2 linked regions of the Caenorhabditis elegans genome follow. The protein of the gene in region 1 interacts with the protein of each later gene in a pairwise test. Each region holds a gene or a part of one and is shown in the gene's direction. Other genes may lie near its edges.

Region 1 (10,814 bases):
CATGTTGATCTGTTTCAAATATTATGAATTCTAATCTATACTATTTGCGAATCAAAGGTTTTCTTCTCACTTGGCTTTACCTCAACACCATTAAAAAGCTGATATACTTAAATTTATTCAAGATTTATGTAGAACAGTAAATTTTTTTTCATCTAAACATTTTTTTAGTCAGCTGCAGAACATGCGAATTGAATTAATTTTCAACAAATTTTACTCAAAAAATTACTGTTTCAAAAACTTAATATTAAATATTATTGTAAACTCGATTTATTAAATTTTCCACAGCCTAACTATAAGACTTCTAATCTATGCTGTTTGCTAATCAAGTTCTCATGTCCACTTGACAGTTTGTTCACATTTGGCTCTTTTTTGCTCTTTTCGCTCCGGAAATTTCCGAAAATCCCCAAAATGTTGCATATTTCTAGTTCCCCACATAAAATGCTCCAAGTTCTCTGCGCACGCCCGCCCGTTCAAAAGATTCCAGTCGGCTTATCGATGCTCTCTCTCCGAGCACCTTGAACCGTCGTCGGCACATTGATTGTTGTATTTGCTCCGTGAGCACCTACCTCTCTCTCTCTATCTCGGAGCCAAAACAATCGAGGCTCTTTTGGAGAGAGAGAGAAAGCACACATACACATGATAATTCGACAAACACGCCCTTTTTCGCTCTGCTTCTCTGCGCTCTCTCGTCGTCTAGTCGAAACTGTGTGTATGTATGAGTATATGTACATTAAACATACAACGAGACAAACACACACAGTCGCTAGCAAGGAAAATAGCACTTCAATGACCAACATTTTGAAGTCGTAAATGTTATCATTAAGGTTTTATGTTGATTAGTTTCCATCTTCAAATTAGTACAGTAGCACATTTTGTTGATACGTGATACTGTCTGAGATCACTAGCTTCAGGTTGAGCCGTTCGTTGTTCCTCGTGGCGCAGTCGGTAATGCGATTGGCTTGTAATTTTGCATTTAGGGGTTCGATCCCGCATGGTGGCTAAGAATTATTATTTTAAAATTCATTGGCGTGAACATCTGGCAATATTATTTCCCAAATAATAGTTATAGTGAAACTAAAATCAAAAATCCTAAACTAAAATATTTTCTCACTATTTCTCAAATGCCTTACCTGAAACCGATTAAACCTTTTCAAGTTTTCAAATAAGTGTTACTTATGTACTTTGCCACGCCATCAATCCAAAAAAAGCCTATAAAAATGAGAGAAAGTACAGATTATGACAGATTAGTTGCGGTTGGGTCGAGAAAGAATTGGCAACAATGGACGGGTTGAGAAAAAAAAATGTTTTTGATCTGAAGTGTAAATATAACAATGTATCTCCTTAAGTTTTGTGGAAGAACAGGAGAAAAAAAACCGAATTTTTGATTTTTTTCCAGTTTGAAAATTTAACTTTTTTCGCGAATTTATTGACTATATTCAATGAAATTACTGTTTTCAAGGTAATTAAATAATCATTGTGAAACATTATTTCAAACGATGTCTTCATCTTAATGTAGTGAGACAACTGTTTCTATTCAAATTAACAACATGAAACAATATTTTGTGTTTTTTTTTCTGCAATAAGCATAACTCCTTCTTTTTACGCTCATTTCTCACCTTCACCAAAGTTCGACCCCATGGTTTTTTTTTCAAAAACTCTTTTAAAAAACTGAAAAAAAGCTATGTTCTCAATAATTTATATAATTAAATAATTAAATAATTTCATACCTTTTGAAACAGAAAATTTTTTTAAAAAAGTATATACCATACATATTTCCTCTATTAGTATTGCACCCGACTACTTAACTTTGAAACGTTATATCTAGGTTCATTTTAAAGATATCAATATTTTGTTAACTACGAAATGATAGAAAAAGAACTAGCAAATATTTTGTTAGTTGGCAATGTTTGAATAAAACAAACGATAACTGAGATATAATCTATCAAAGTTTAACAATGGGGATGCAATACTAATACGGTAGATAAAAAGTTGTCTTGATACATGTCGCAGAAAAATATGGGACTTTTCTATACCTAGATTTTTGGCGCAACTGGTGAAAACCCGCAAATGACTTCTACTTCTCTAGTATTACTCCGCGAATTCTATTAGGATTTTGCAAATATTTTGAAACAGTAAAAATTGTAACTAACTTTCCGATCTTTCTAGGAATTTCTTCACCAAATGTTCTCTTTCAAGTCCACATTTAGCGCACTCGGTAAGGGTCTTACCTACCACTCACAACACCAAAGTTCGACCCCACGGCCCTCGCAACTTCTTTCTCATGGGCGTGTCGATATGGGGGGTAAAATCCCGGTATTTTCTCCCGCAATTTGTATCTATCGAAATGTGTCCTTCCCACCCAATCATTTCTCTCTGTGTATCTTCCCTTCCAATGAATTATTTGACCTTCGTCATCGCCTCCTAGCGGGCGTCTTCTAATAGTATAGAAGGCGTGTGTTATAGGGAGATGGGGGTGGAGAGAAGAAGTTGACTACTACTGACTTACAAATTACCGCCTCCTCCTTCCCCGTTGCCTAATACGGGTGAGAGGAGGTCAACATGTGTGGTGGGAAATTGAACGGAATTCGGAAGGAATTGAAAGCGATTTGGGGAGGGAAAAGTTATTACTAATTGTTTTCCAGGTGTTCTAATTGTTTCGAATTGGCAAATTTACAATCACTAATTTTTGTAATTAAATAAATGAAAAATTACTGTTTCAAATTGTCTTTTAAAGCGGCTAACAGAACTGAAACGGTAATTTTTTTTGTTTTTTTTGGAAAAAAAATAGACTGTAGAAACAGCTGCTCAATTTTTGTAACGTCAGAGATGTGCTTTTTTTGAACTGGGAATGTACATTACTATGACTAATTACGTAATGTATTTTGAATTTCTTACTTTAAATGAATGTTCTATCAAATAAATTCATATCCGTTTCTCTCTCGCGGCAAACACAATAATTTTCTCGAAAAAAACATTGAATTAATTAAAAATATGAAACAGCAGAATTTTTCAAATTAGAAAAAAAAACTATCTTCGCACTATTCTCGCATCTGAAATATTGCTTCTAAATCACAACCAAACACATTAATTATTACTAGTGAAGCAGCTATTTTTTTCTGAAAATTATAAATTAAATTTAACATATATTTTCACTAAAACTACAAACTACAATTTGAGCACAGTAAAAAATTGCACAACTTTTGTAAAATCGAATTTGTAAAACGAATTAGTGTTTCTTTATACAGCAACTAATCCCACATATTTCAAAATAAGTAATGCAAGTGAAACAGTAAATTTAACAAAATTAACCTAATTTTCAAATGATTCTCAACCGAGCTTAAGTTCAATACCTATCCAAATCCCAACCAGTTTTTCATTCCAATTCCAATCCATCTACTTTCTCTCTCCACCTGTGTCTCTCACCTCTACCATACTATTTCTCCCACCTTTTCAATCGACAGTTTTTTTGCTGTTTCGGTTTCTACTGGATACACGCCTTTGGGGCGTGGAAATAGAAGAAGATGGATGGATTTTGGAGGAAAAGTTGAAGGAAAACTAGAGAATGCTGGGGCCCGGATACTTATTATTTCTTTGATTCGATTTTCTTTACTTTTTCCCCAGTTACAACAGATTTTGGAAAATTTCACGAAATTCAATTTTCTTTTGTTTCTTTGGATGTTTTTAAAAAGGGATTTTGTAGTTTGAAAACTTGAAAGCTTACAGAAAATTTTATGAAAATTTGCATTAAATTTTCTGCAGTTTCACACTCTTTATTTCAGCGTTATAGGGGTTTTTGCAACATTGCTTCAATTTCAATTTTTCCTATTGCTAAATATAGAAAAAAAAGCGGTGGCGAATTCTTTATGAAATTGTCTAAAATCCATCTTGTATACGTTTCAAAAAAAATTATGCTGTTTCAAAAATGTAACTTGTTAGCACAGAATATACGGTTTTCGTTCAGATTCGTTTTCAATCTCAATTTTCAAAATCTTCAGTTGAAGAAGTTATCTTTTTCTGTTTTTTCTTCGTAAATCTGAAAAATAATCACTGCTTCAAGTTATTTACGATTTTTAATTGATTTTGAAATCTAACTCAATTACTTTAATTAATTCTGTCATGTTAATACATCTACAAAAATAAATCTTACTCCTATATTTTTCATTCAATTTCAGATCTGATTGACTTGATTTTCAAGAGTATAGCTATTGCTAGAATTTTTAGTTGTTTTTAAATTTATCATTGATTTTCCGAGTATTGTTTTATTCACTAAAATTTCCAGATTCACAAAAGTTTTTAGTGAAAAATAAATCAGTGAATTGAAAATGTTTTAATTTAAAATTCAGATTTTTCTCTCAATTTCTCACTCTAGCCGCTTTAATGTTCTCTTCTCTCAATCTTTTTGTTAATTTTTTGAAACAAATTATCACTGTTTCAAGTTTTTTTAAAAATAATTAATCAATTTTCAATTTTAATTTTCACATAAATTGCTTTCGCTTTCATGATGTTATTTTCAAAACAATATTTTTCACTATTTTCATTTGTTATATAAAACATGGTAAAACTTCCCATTATACTCTCTTTTTGCTTTCTTAACTCTAGTTTCCAAATTAAAATTAAAAAATTGTTTCTAAACTTCAATTATATTTTCCTAAAACTTTCCACGAAAATTAAAATTCATTAGAATTTCTTACAGTTACGAAAAAGGAGCCAAACTTTGAGATTTGAATTCAAGTTTTCCACTTTATAATTAAAAATGAAAATTTCTTCCTTATTGTAACATATCATTTCGTTAATTTTTTAAACCAAAACTTTAAAATTTTCCTGTTTCACGTTGTTTATAAGAAACATTGATTTTTTAAAAACATTGCTCGGTGGATTTTCTGAGTCTTTTTCAAAAAATAAAACAAAACTTTTCTCATGTTTTTATTGGTTTTCAAAATGTCATATATTTTTTACTTTTCCAATTCCAACTACAATTTTTCGAAAACCCAATGCTTCAATTTTTCTTCCATAACTTTAAAGTTAAATTAAATTTGATTTTATTTCAGCCAGTCAAATGCCATTTGCTTAAAAAGCGAGGAAATTTATCATCAGTGAAGAAGTGTAAAACATCTATTAAAAATGATGCGTCGAGGTGGATCGATGGGTCCACCGAGCGGGGATCCATATCAGAGGTTAGTATATTGTTTTATGAAAATAATTTAAACACAAATACAAGGCAAATTTGATTACATATTGAGATAGTCAAATTTTACAATTGAAATAAAGTTTTTAAAGCTTTAAACTTGTTTTGTATTGAAAATCCAAGTATTTGATAATTACTCCCAAAATTGTGTCAATTTTCTAAAAATTGCTGACAATCTAAAAGGTGTGAGACGAATTAACTCAACAAACTAAGGAAAGCAGAACTAGAAAATATTTGAACTTTTTTTTGAAATAGAAGTTATGAAACGGTAATTTTTGCGAAATTTTTTAACCTAAAATTTAACTTCAACGTATTTGAAAATCCATTACTGCAAATAAATTTTGAGACTGAAATATTTCTCAAAAATTGACTATTTCGCAATAGATGTTAAATGAAATTTAATAAGTCACCAGAATTTCAAACAGGATGAAAATGAAAAAAAAACAGCTTCAAACATTTTTGTTGAAGTAATTTTTTTAAATCTAAATTGCTTCCAGCGACTTTTTAGAGCTGTTTTCTGTATGTTGATGGCTCGTAATACCCTAAAATTCATTTTTTTTCAAATAGAAAAAAAAATCGAAAATATCGCTGTTTCAAAGAAATGTTATATTTTCAAAGTTTTATCAATGAATTGTTCTGCTGACCTTTTTATTATGAGAAGATCAAATTAAATCATTTATCAAATTGAAGTCGATCCCCTATGAAAGTTCGACTAAACTGACTTCAAACCGCTTTTTAAACCGAAAATTGCAACATTCTTACTGAGTCAATAAAAATTAGAAAAATTAAATGAAGATGCTGAAACTGTAGAGTGTTTCAATTTTCGGTTTAAAAAGTGGGTTGAAGTCAGTTTAGTCGAACTTTCATAGGGGGTGGAATCCTTTAATCAGAAAATTTTAAACTGGATGAAAGAAGAAGTAAAAACAAACAAATAACTGCTTCAGATTCATGTTATTTAATTTCTGAATTTACTTTTCCGTTAAAGAATTTACTTTAAACTTTTTTTTTAGCAAATTAAAAATAATCTTTAAAAATCTAAATCTTGAAAAAGGAAAAAAAAAATGTGAATATCAAAATTTTGACCGTTTCACATTGTTTTTTTTTAATATTGACATTTTCTGGTAGCATAATATCAACAGAAGAATATTACTTGTTAATAAAAAAATATTAAGAAAATTAACTATTTCGCTTTCCTTATAAATATTCGTTATCAGATTTTATAAATTAGTAAGCTCTCGGAATTTTCTTAAATTTTCAGTTTTAAAGTCAAAACGACTTCCTTAATGTTCTAGAATAACTCAATCAATTAATTAACCAATTAATCCGTTGAAATGTCCCAGTTCGACAGGATTTATTGAATTTTCGAAATGAAGTTGATTAATTAGTTTTCAAGATGAATATCTTATTTCTCTGTTTCACCACCACACCTCTTTGGGTGTGGTTTTGGAAACTTATTTGGAATGTGAACGATTTTCCTAATGCCAATGAACTTTTTGCATTTTTTAAATTAGTTTTTTGAAACAGTGATTTTTTGTGAAGTCGTTTAATTGTAAGTTTTCAATATTAAACACCTTAAAAGTTAATTTATTGCGAAACCCCCTATAATAATGATTAGAATATTTCAAAAGTTGATTTTGAATTACTCTGATAATGCGTTTGAAATAATTTTTTCTGTTGAAACTAATTTGTTTTTTATGGTTTCCCTGTCTTCTGCATTTTTTTGAAAGCACATCATTGATAAAATGTTTCTAAAGTTTTATATTAAACATTTGGAACCGTGAAAAATTTTAAAACAACTCCAATATAGCTAACTTTTTTACATGTGCTTGTTTTTTGGAACAGTTTATTTTTTGTGCAAATTTTTAAGTATAATATTTTCAACATTTTACCATGTTTCAATGTAGTATTAAATTTTACCTCCACCATAAAAAATTATTGATTTCAATCTTATTGGTACATAACTCAAATGTTGAAAAAAAAATTTGTTGCACAATTGGAACTGTTTCAGAATTTCCCTACTTTCAAGAACAATTTTTTTTGGATATCGCAGTGTCCAAGTTTTCGAAAATTTTAGTCAGAAACCTGAAACTGTATCAATTTAAGCAATTAAAGTAAATTTAAAAACAATTATTGTATTCTTAAAAACCTGAAAATTGAATTGTTTAAAAGTGTAATTCACTGGAATTCATCAATATTCAAACTTTTCACATATTATGTAGCAAAGTGAAAACAGTAGAATTTTTAAAAAATTTAGAAAAGTCCTATACATTTTCAAGTTGCGATCAAAAATGGAACAAAAAGAAGCTGTTAAGTTTTGCTTATTCAGTCAAACTGTTACTATAAAATATAAAATTCAAAAGTTCAAGAAAATCATTTAGATATGTAACCAAATAATATTCGACTAATTTCTAATGAAAATACCTACCTAAAATCTAAAATCGTAATCACGGTTTCACAGAATATTATTTGGTTACATATCTAAATGATTTTCTTGAACTTTTGAATTTTATGTTTTATAGTAACAGTTTGACTGAATAAGCAAAACTTAACAGCTTCTTTTTGTTCCATTTTTGATCGCAACTTGAAAATGTATAGGACTTTTCTAAATTTTTTAAAAATCTTTGTGAAAAATGCGACTCTCTCTTAAAAAATTCTCTGTTTTTGTATCAGGGGTGTGCGGCAAATTTGCCGATTTGCCGAAAATTGCCGACTTGCCGAGCTCGGCAAATTTGCCGATTTGCCAAATTCGGCAAATTTAAAAAAACCAGCAATTGCCGATTTGTCGAGCACGGCAAATTTCAAAAAAGTAGATTTGCCGAATTTGCCGAGCTCGGCAAATTTCGAAATTTGCCGCACACGTCAAAAATTTTACAGTACAATTTTGACTAAAATTATTGATTTTTTCGCCAAAAATTTAGTAAAATGACACAAAATTGAGTTAGTTTTATGCTTAAGCAGACATACTACACGGAACTAATTCAGAAACCAGATGTGTGTTAAGAATTCGGTAGTTTTGGTGTTCCAAAAAACATCAAAAATTATCAAAATTTTCCGAGTTTGTTAAGCACGGCAAATTTGCCGAATTTGCCGAATTTGCCGTGCTCGGCAAATATTGAAAAACCAGCAATTGCCGATTTGCCGAGCTCGGCAAATTTTGAAAAACCAGCAATTGCCGATTTGCCGAGCTCGGCAATTTTTTCCATTTGCCGCACACCCCTGTTTTGCATGTCTTCATCGACTGCGGATCGTTACAAACATTAAAACAATGTAGTGAAATTGTATACCATTAAATTTCAAATGAAAGTTAATTTTGGAAATTTTCTGAAAATTTCACTGTTTCGACAAAAGAATATAACAGTTTTCTTTTTGCGACTCCAATTCCGTAATGTTGTATTTTCCATGCATAAATTTTTAAATTAAAAAATACTGATTTGTATTTTTTGTAATAATATACTTTCAATCATAACCTTTGTAAAATTTGTCAGAAAACCCAAAAAAAATTGATAAATACATACCATTTTACGTTTTTCTTACTTTGACAATGGTTTGAAAAAATTAAAATTCACCAGTTGCTTAATGAAACATCTATATATTTTTCTCTCTTTTTAAAGAAAAAATCGCTTAAAATTAGACAAAAAACATTGAATCACTATAATGAAATTGTTTAGAAAAAGTTAATTGTGGAAATTTGAAAATTTTTCACTGTTTCAACAAGTAATTTTAAGATTTTCCTTTTTGACCTCTTCAGTTCGTTGAAAGCTGAACACTTACATTTATTTAAAAAAAGTTAATTTCCAGGAAAAAATGTACATGTACAATTTTTTGAAGCACCTGAAATCAAACCAAAAAATTAATGTAGTGAAATTGTATAGATGTAACTTTGTGTAATGTTAATTTTGGAAGTTTTTAAAAATTTTCACTGTTTCAACGAATAATTTTTGAAAATCTCCTTCTGATTCGTTCAATACCGACGCTCTTCTTTTGAAATTAAACCAAAAAAATTAAAACACTATAATGAAATTGCATATAATCGTGTTTATAAATTATGGAAATTAAAAAAAAAATTCACTGTTTCAACAAATAATTTTACGATTTTTTGTTTTGACCCCCTCAAAAAATGAAATAAGTGTGGTGAAACTGTAATTTTTAATTTCAATTTTCACTGTTTCACCGGATAATTTCAAATTTATTTCCTTTTGAGCTCTTCAATTCCCAACACCGTCCCCCTTTTTATACAAAGCTTCGTACATACACATATAAATATGATTTCTCCGTCCGTCCAACTGATAAATGCCAAAATGTTACGTGCATCCCTGCTCGGCGCCAATTCCTGTCTGCGTCTCTCGCATTCTCCACGCTCTCTCGACGATTTGATGTTTAAGGAGAGTAGGTGTTGAGTGAGGGAGAATGAGAGAGGTACTGATAACGAAGACAGAGGAAAAAGGAGCTATTGTATGGAAAATGACAACATTCCGCATTGGCAGCTTTTATAACTTTTCCCCCTTCGTTTCCCGCCGATTGATTGTTGTACAGAATCTATAAAAATTTAGATTTTATGCTCTTTTTCTGCTATGGAGTCTGGAATGTGTGTGTGTGTTTTGAACTGAAATGTCTGGAATTTCAATTTCTGATCACTGAGTTTATAGGAAAAAAAAGTCACGGTTTCAAGAATCTGATATACATTTTAGCGAAACTGATTTGAATCACTTAAGAGATTGAAAAATATAATTAAAAAAACTACTGTTTCAAATGCGTTATGTTATAATTTTCAAACACAAAATTCGGTTCTGAAGACATTTTGATTGGATTTTGAAAAATATGATTCGAAAAAAGTTACTGTTTCAAAACGTTTTAGATTTTGAAAACTTTCTGGTTGCCAATATTGTCTTTTTTTCGCACGAAATTTCAAAAAAAAAACATTTCAGAATATCATTGAAGGCTGAAAAAAAATATTACTGTTTCATGTTGAGATCATAGAAAATGAATAAATTCCTATTCGTTTACTATGTATTTCCTTTAAAAAAAATCTACTACGGGAATTACAAATAAAAATTAAATGTCACAACTTATATTTCCAGTAAAACGTACTTTTTTGTAGAATTGCTAATAAAATTTTGTTTGCTAATTATTTCTCCCACTGTTTTATATGCTTCATATATGCAATGTAATATGATTTCATTGTATTTTTGTATTCGTATTCATTGTATTCATTATCGCGTCAAAAATTTCTAAAAAACTATTAATTTACTGTAAAGTAGAAATTAAGTTAAATTAGAGGGATTTTGCAATTAGTTAGGATTTTCGAACGCTTCAAGTTTTTGATAATTTTACAAATCTTTAAACTTTTTGCTGCTAGGTTCGATTTGTTCTAAACGTTTAAAGAAATTAATAATGTCTGGAAATTTTTTTTTTCCCACATTTAATTATCTTCAAGTTATCTGTAAAGCAGTACAATCAATTTCTGAATATTTCAAAAACGATGTAAAAACGAATCTGAAACATGGTGAATTTGTTCCTGTTTCAAGTTAAAGTTTTACTTCACACGTTTTAATGCTGTTCAATAACATTGTCGTAGAGGAACAAAATCTGCAAGTAATTTGAAAACAGTCGTCATCTCGCGGGTTCGATT
Region 2 (5,369 bases), on another chromosome or scaffold:
TCTTATATTTAAAAAAAAAAAGTTAAGATGAATCGTTACTTTTCCAGAGATTTTACAAACAATCCGAAAAACTTTGCAACTATATTTCTACCATCAGAAGATAGTTGCTATAAAACTCAAATTTGATTAGTCCATGAATATAAAATGATTATGTGATTTTTTAACAGCAAAAAGGAATGGAAAGTAATTTTTGAAAATAAAAATTGTTTAGGCTTCCCGCTTGAAAGAACGGAAGAGGAAAAGGTTGGATGACCTAACCTAGACATGCACACGGAGCAAAAAAAAGTTTTTTCTCCTTCTTTTTTCACAAGTGGGTTGGAGTCGCACCTCTCGAAAACTAAACAACCAGAACCAATATGCGTGGATATGTTTTTCGGCACCTCAAAAAGGAGGAAAAACACACCCTATGATGAACCCTCTGTATGCAGGAGTATTCCTCTTTTCTTGTTGTCAATTTTTTTGAAGAAAAAAAAAGAAAAGAAGGCGACTAAGACAGAGGCAGAGAAAAAAAGTGTCACATACAGATCCATGAGCATAATTTTGGATGTTATGTATCGCCGCGTTTGTTGTCTTTCTAATATTACTGCTCTTTTTGCTCGTTTACGTCGTCTAGTATTCCCACTTCTCACTACTACTCCATGACCTATTATCTCTGTTTTGTCGCTTCTTCTCCCGAGATTTCCCCTTTCTCTGAATATTCTCACGCTTTCATCTTTTTTTTTTTTTCTTCTTCCACTAGTTTTTTGCGTTTTTCTACTTCAAACTAAGATGGTCCCATTTTGTTAAAATTGATTAAAATTGATGTCTAGACTATTTCATTCAAAACGATATAGGTTTCAGCGAAGAAGAAGAAGAACTCTTTGAAAGCTAAAATAACATCTACTAAATCTGATTTTTCAAAAAAAAAAAACGGATAAGCCTAAGATAAGACGATTTTGCGCAAAAAATTAAATGTATTTATGACACAATTTTGAAAAAATTACACTAGTGGCAATATTTAATTGAATTTTTAAATTAAAAATGATACTTTTTAAACGCAATTTCCAAAAACGAATTATTTAACATTAAAGTAAAAGATTCCCAGTTGTTCTCCGTGTTTAGTTTTCTAAAAGTATTTTTTGACAAAATTTCCAATAGAGCCTCCTACAAATTAAAATTCCAAATAGTGTTCCAGTAGTAACTTTTTTTTTCAATTTTTGCAATGTTAGTCACTTTTCAGCTGTATGTATTTTATCTAACAAAATAAAGTAAAATCACCAACTAAAATATGCAAATAATAATAATTCGTTGTGACACGAAAAAAAAACCATAGTTGAGGATTTTTGATGACATTAGGCAATTTTTCGAATTTTCAAACAGCTATAAATAATTTTGAAAAATAAATTTAAGAAATAATCACCAAGGAAAGTTTAAAAAGTTCAACTGAGCATACTCTTTTTTACCTCAAGGCTTTATTTCCAAATACTCTAGTTTCATTTAGTTTTATTCATTTAAGTAAGATCCCAGGAATTAGAAATGAAGCCGGATTTGAGAAAGTAATCTTTCACTTTCCTCTTTTCACCTAGAAAACAAAAAAGTTCATTTTCAAAAAAAATCAGCCCCTAAAATTGTAACAAAAAATGCCAACAACTTACCGGAAGCCAAAAAATTGGTGCTCTTCCACAATTCTTTCTTCTTCCTCTCACTTTCCATCGACTCCATCAAGACGGAGCTGTATCATCCAATGAATTGTTTTGCATCGTCCGTGCATCATAGAAACAGGTGTTCATCGTGTTTATCTTGCAAACTCACCCAACCGACACTCATAAAACTGTGTATCTCTGGAGACTGGGAGAGATAACATCCACTTTCTACTCTTTGTCGAGCCTCTTTCATCCAGTTTTTTTCCGGTGTCAAAAAAAACTTCATATTTTCTTTTTTTTCATATTTATTCGTTTTTTCTTTCTGCTTTGAGATTTTGTCATATCTTACAAATCCAAGAAAAAAAAAAGAAAAATGTAATATCTTTCCTTCATCCCTTCCTTTTTATGTAGTTATTTATGTCTTCTTCTTTAATTAAATTTGTTTTTTCTTCTTATTTCCCATTATTTTGCTAACACCTTATTTGTTGAATATTCGATGGAGAGACTAATAATTGAACATTTTTGCATCCCAATTTTTCACAAAGCTAATATTTCGCGGTTTTTGATAGTTGTTTAAGACTGGGATGTATAGTTGGTGTTTCAATTTTGTCTACTCAGTTTTTTTTTCAATTTAAAATTGTTTTTGAAACAAAAACGTAAAAACCATTACATAAAAGTTTATAAGTAATTTAAAAGTTCCATTAAAAACAAAAAATAACCATGGTATAATCAGAGTATACATATATTGGGCATTTCAGAAGCAATAACTTCCAAATAACTTCAATGTGAACTGGAATATATGTAGTGACAAAATGCGAAATACTTAAATTGTGTAAGAGTTTAGTGTATACAGATTAAAATAAACTGACAAACTAAAAAAAAATTATAAAAGTATATATATATATGTCAAAAATTTGAGACTAGTAGTAACCTTAACAGTAAACATATTTTCAGCATGTTTTTGGTATAGCTCTGCACAAAATGGTAGTTTTATGAAATTATTGTGCTCAATGTTATTTCCTTGAAATAAATCTCGATTATTTTTTGAATAGTTACACTTTTTGGTTGAAGTTATTGCACCAAATGGAAATGAATTTTTCAAAAAGTTTTAAGTAGACGTATGAAACGGAAATAAAAAGAGTATGCAGAAAAAGATGCAAACCGAAATTGTTTGAAAAAAAAAACTTTAAAAAATGGCTTTGTTAGCCTTAAAGGAGTTATTGTTTTGAGCATTAGAATTAGATCCCAAGTCATTTGAGAACGTAGGAAAATCAAAATGTAGGTTTCTCTATGTAATTGATCGTAGTAAAACCCATGCACGTAATTGCTTCTATTACATTACATTACGATTTTCATATCAAATAATTTTTTTTCAGCATCTCTCAAACTTAAAGTTTAGTGTTTTGAAAAGATTTCAAATCTGTTTACTGTTTTTGTTACAAATACATCTGGCTAACCCGCCAACTTTGAATAAACACGATACTATTCCGGCAAATTCAGGAATGTTTGCTAAATGACAAATACAGCCGCGTTTCAATAGGAAACTAGAGGTGGAAAAGATGAAAAGTGTCCATATTTGTCTTGATTTCCTCTGCCATGCCGCAATCAAACTTTCTTTCACATAGTTGTTCTGCTTCAATAATTTAAGATTGGATGGTTTGATTTTGCATTTTGCAGAAAATATTATGTTATAAACAAGAAAAAATCCTAAGTTTAACGATTTCCGTCCCCCACGCACTCAAGTTCATTAAAATTAATGACGTAATGCTTACCTCTTTTTATAAGACCGCAACATGAGATTTTCCATCAGACAAGTACCACCTCAAATCCTCAATTTTTTAGTTCTCGAAAGAATGTTGCGGGGTTGATAAAACATGAATCTCTCTTGCAATCATTTATTGACATTATATCTCCTCCTAACGATCAAATCAAATTGGCCGAAAGAAAACGCGTAGAGCCCCCCCCCCCCCCCCCGCCGCCGACCCAAAAAACTGCCATTTTCTCTCCAGTCTCTCTATTTCAATATTCATGCGAGCCTGATATGCTTTTTCAATTTAATAATCATTCACTGTCCCTATGAGTTTTTTTCTGGTTATCTCTTTTTTTTCTTCAACTTTATCATTTGTTTATTCACGTTTATCAGCATTTTTCAGCTAAAACAGAATGAGGGAGCTTGACCCGGACGAGTCGAACCTTCTCCTCGATGAACAACTGTCGATCCGGGATGTGATAGAACAGTAAGATTTTTGAAAATTCAGTTAATTCTTGAAATAACTAAGAATTTCCAGAGGTCCATTTTCAAATGTATACCGAATACTTCATGGACCATCAAATCGAAAATTTTTACTGAGATCAATCAATTTGAATTTGTTCAGACAGCACACCGGGTTAGGATTTGAAGGTACAATTATTGTTATACAGTTGTTACATGGGGTACGACTACATGTAGTAGTCGTATTCCAAAAAAATTCTACGCACCTACTAAAATGATTTGTTCAATTCAAAAGTTGAAGCAGTGTACTTTTGTAGTAGCTGTAGTTGCTCTACTATACAAGTATCAAAAATAGTTTTCTCCCATTTTGATAAAGTCTTTTTTTAATTTTGGTTTTTTGTCTTTACAAAAATTGATAGGTTTTTGTAATGTTAATCGATCTAGTGATGAACTAATATCTTTCGAAAGGAGGCTCAAATGCAGTTAAAAAAAAGTTAATTAGAATAAAAATATCCAATTTCATTGGTTTTCATCCAAATACCATTGAGACCGTTAAAGAAAAGTTTCAACATTTTAAAAACAGGAAGTCATCGTTTCAACACACTGTCTCACAAAAGACTGAATTATTAGTTTTTGATGTTTTTTTTCGAATTGAACAAATTCAGGTGGTTAATACACTTTTTTTTTAAAGTTATGTTTTGACCTTTATTGTGGATTTTGAAGAATAAAAAATTTCTCAAAAAACAACCTGAGTGCACTTTTAAAAATTGAGAAAAAAAAAGTCCCCGCAGCGGATATTATTATTCTCGCCACCAGTTTTCCAATCAGAAGCGCACAAAATGTCCTCAAAGTTCTCATCTCATGAGCTCAGCAGCTCCAATCCCAATTCATCAATCAATCTATCAGCCATCATGTGTCATTTCGAACTTTGATCATTTTACCGAATCCGATCTAAATATAATTATTTCATTCCAAACCATCTCTTTTTCAGAAATCGACGAGGAAATTAGAATATGCCAAAATCTACAGCACCCTTACATATGCCGACTGGAAAAAACTATCAACAGCGTTCATTATCGACATATCATTTTTGAGAACATGGAGGGAAATGATATTTGTTTTGAAATAGTTCAAAGAGCAAGTAATGGATTCGTATTTTCTGAATATGTAGTAAGGTTTGTATTTTTACAATATAGACTGTGTGTCACGGCGTGTAAATTGGGACATCTGGCCTAGCGAAAAGTGAAAAGTGAGAATCCTAGGCCATGGCCGCTGCAAAGCGCGCGAAATTTGAATTTAAATTTTTAATATCATTGAAATTCGATGAATGAGACATTATAATGGATAAAACTGCAAAAATATATACAAAATTGTTTTTAAAATGGATAAATCACATATAACAACGATTATTTTCCTAAATAAAAGTGGAAATTCGATTTATTAGGCAATTATTAGGAAAATTCGACAAAAATGGCACATTTTTGAACTTTTTTCAAAAACTAGATCCACAAATTTTCTGAAATTTCACCAGATTA

What was found. Proteins that work in one complex are often made in the same cells at the same time.
Region 2: the proteins of eps-8 (region 1) and lin-2 interact in a two-hybrid assay, tested with the Caenorhabditis elegans proteins (4 studies listed by BioGRID).

What each region holds. Positions count from the first base shown.
Region 1 is NC_003282.8:14,874,442-14,885,255, forward strand, and holds the start of eps-8 (SH3 domain-containing protein), read left to right. Parts: upstream 1-5,121; coding exon 5,122-5,174; intron 5,175-5,228; exon of another isoform or gene 5,229-5,249; intron 5,250-5,387; exon of another isoform or gene 5,388-5,408; intron 5,409-5,600; exon of another isoform or gene 5,601-5,622; intron 5,623-5,820; exon of another isoform or gene 5,821-5,841; intron 5,842-5,925; exon of another isoform or gene 5,926-5,946; intron 5,947-6,165; exon of another isoform or gene 6,166-6,186; intron 6,187-6,315; exon of another isoform or gene 6,316-6,336; intron 6,337-6,410; exon of another isoform or gene 6,411-6,434; intron 6,435-6,487; exon of another isoform or gene 6,488-6,508; intron 6,509-6,640; exon of another isoform or gene 6,641-6,663; intron 6,664-6,895; exon of another isoform or gene 6,896-6,916; intron 6,917-7,118; exon of another isoform or gene 7,119-7,142; intron 7,143-7,208; exon of another isoform or gene 7,209-7,229; intron 7,230-7,352; exon of another isoform or gene 7,353-7,373; intron 7,374-8,398; exon of another isoform or gene 8,399-8,419; intron 8,420-8,563; exon of another isoform or gene 8,564-8,585; intron 8,586-8,933; exon of another isoform or gene 8,934-8,954; intron 8,955-9,150; exon of another isoform or gene 9,151-9,171; intron 9,172-9,297; exon of another isoform or gene 9,298-9,318; and 19 more.
Region 2 is NC_003284.9:12,412,442-12,417,810, reverse strand, and holds the start of lin-2 (Protein lin-2), read left to right. Parts: upstream 1-3,769; 5' UTR 3,770-3,785; coding exon 3,786-3,859; intron 3,860-3,910; coding exon 3,911-4,023; intron 4,024-4,825; coding exon 4,826-5,009; intron 5,010-5,369. UniProt on the Caenorhabditis elegans protein: May play a structural role in the induction of the vulva. May be required for the localization of signal transduction molecules (such as let-23 receptor) to either the basal membrane domain or the cell junctions.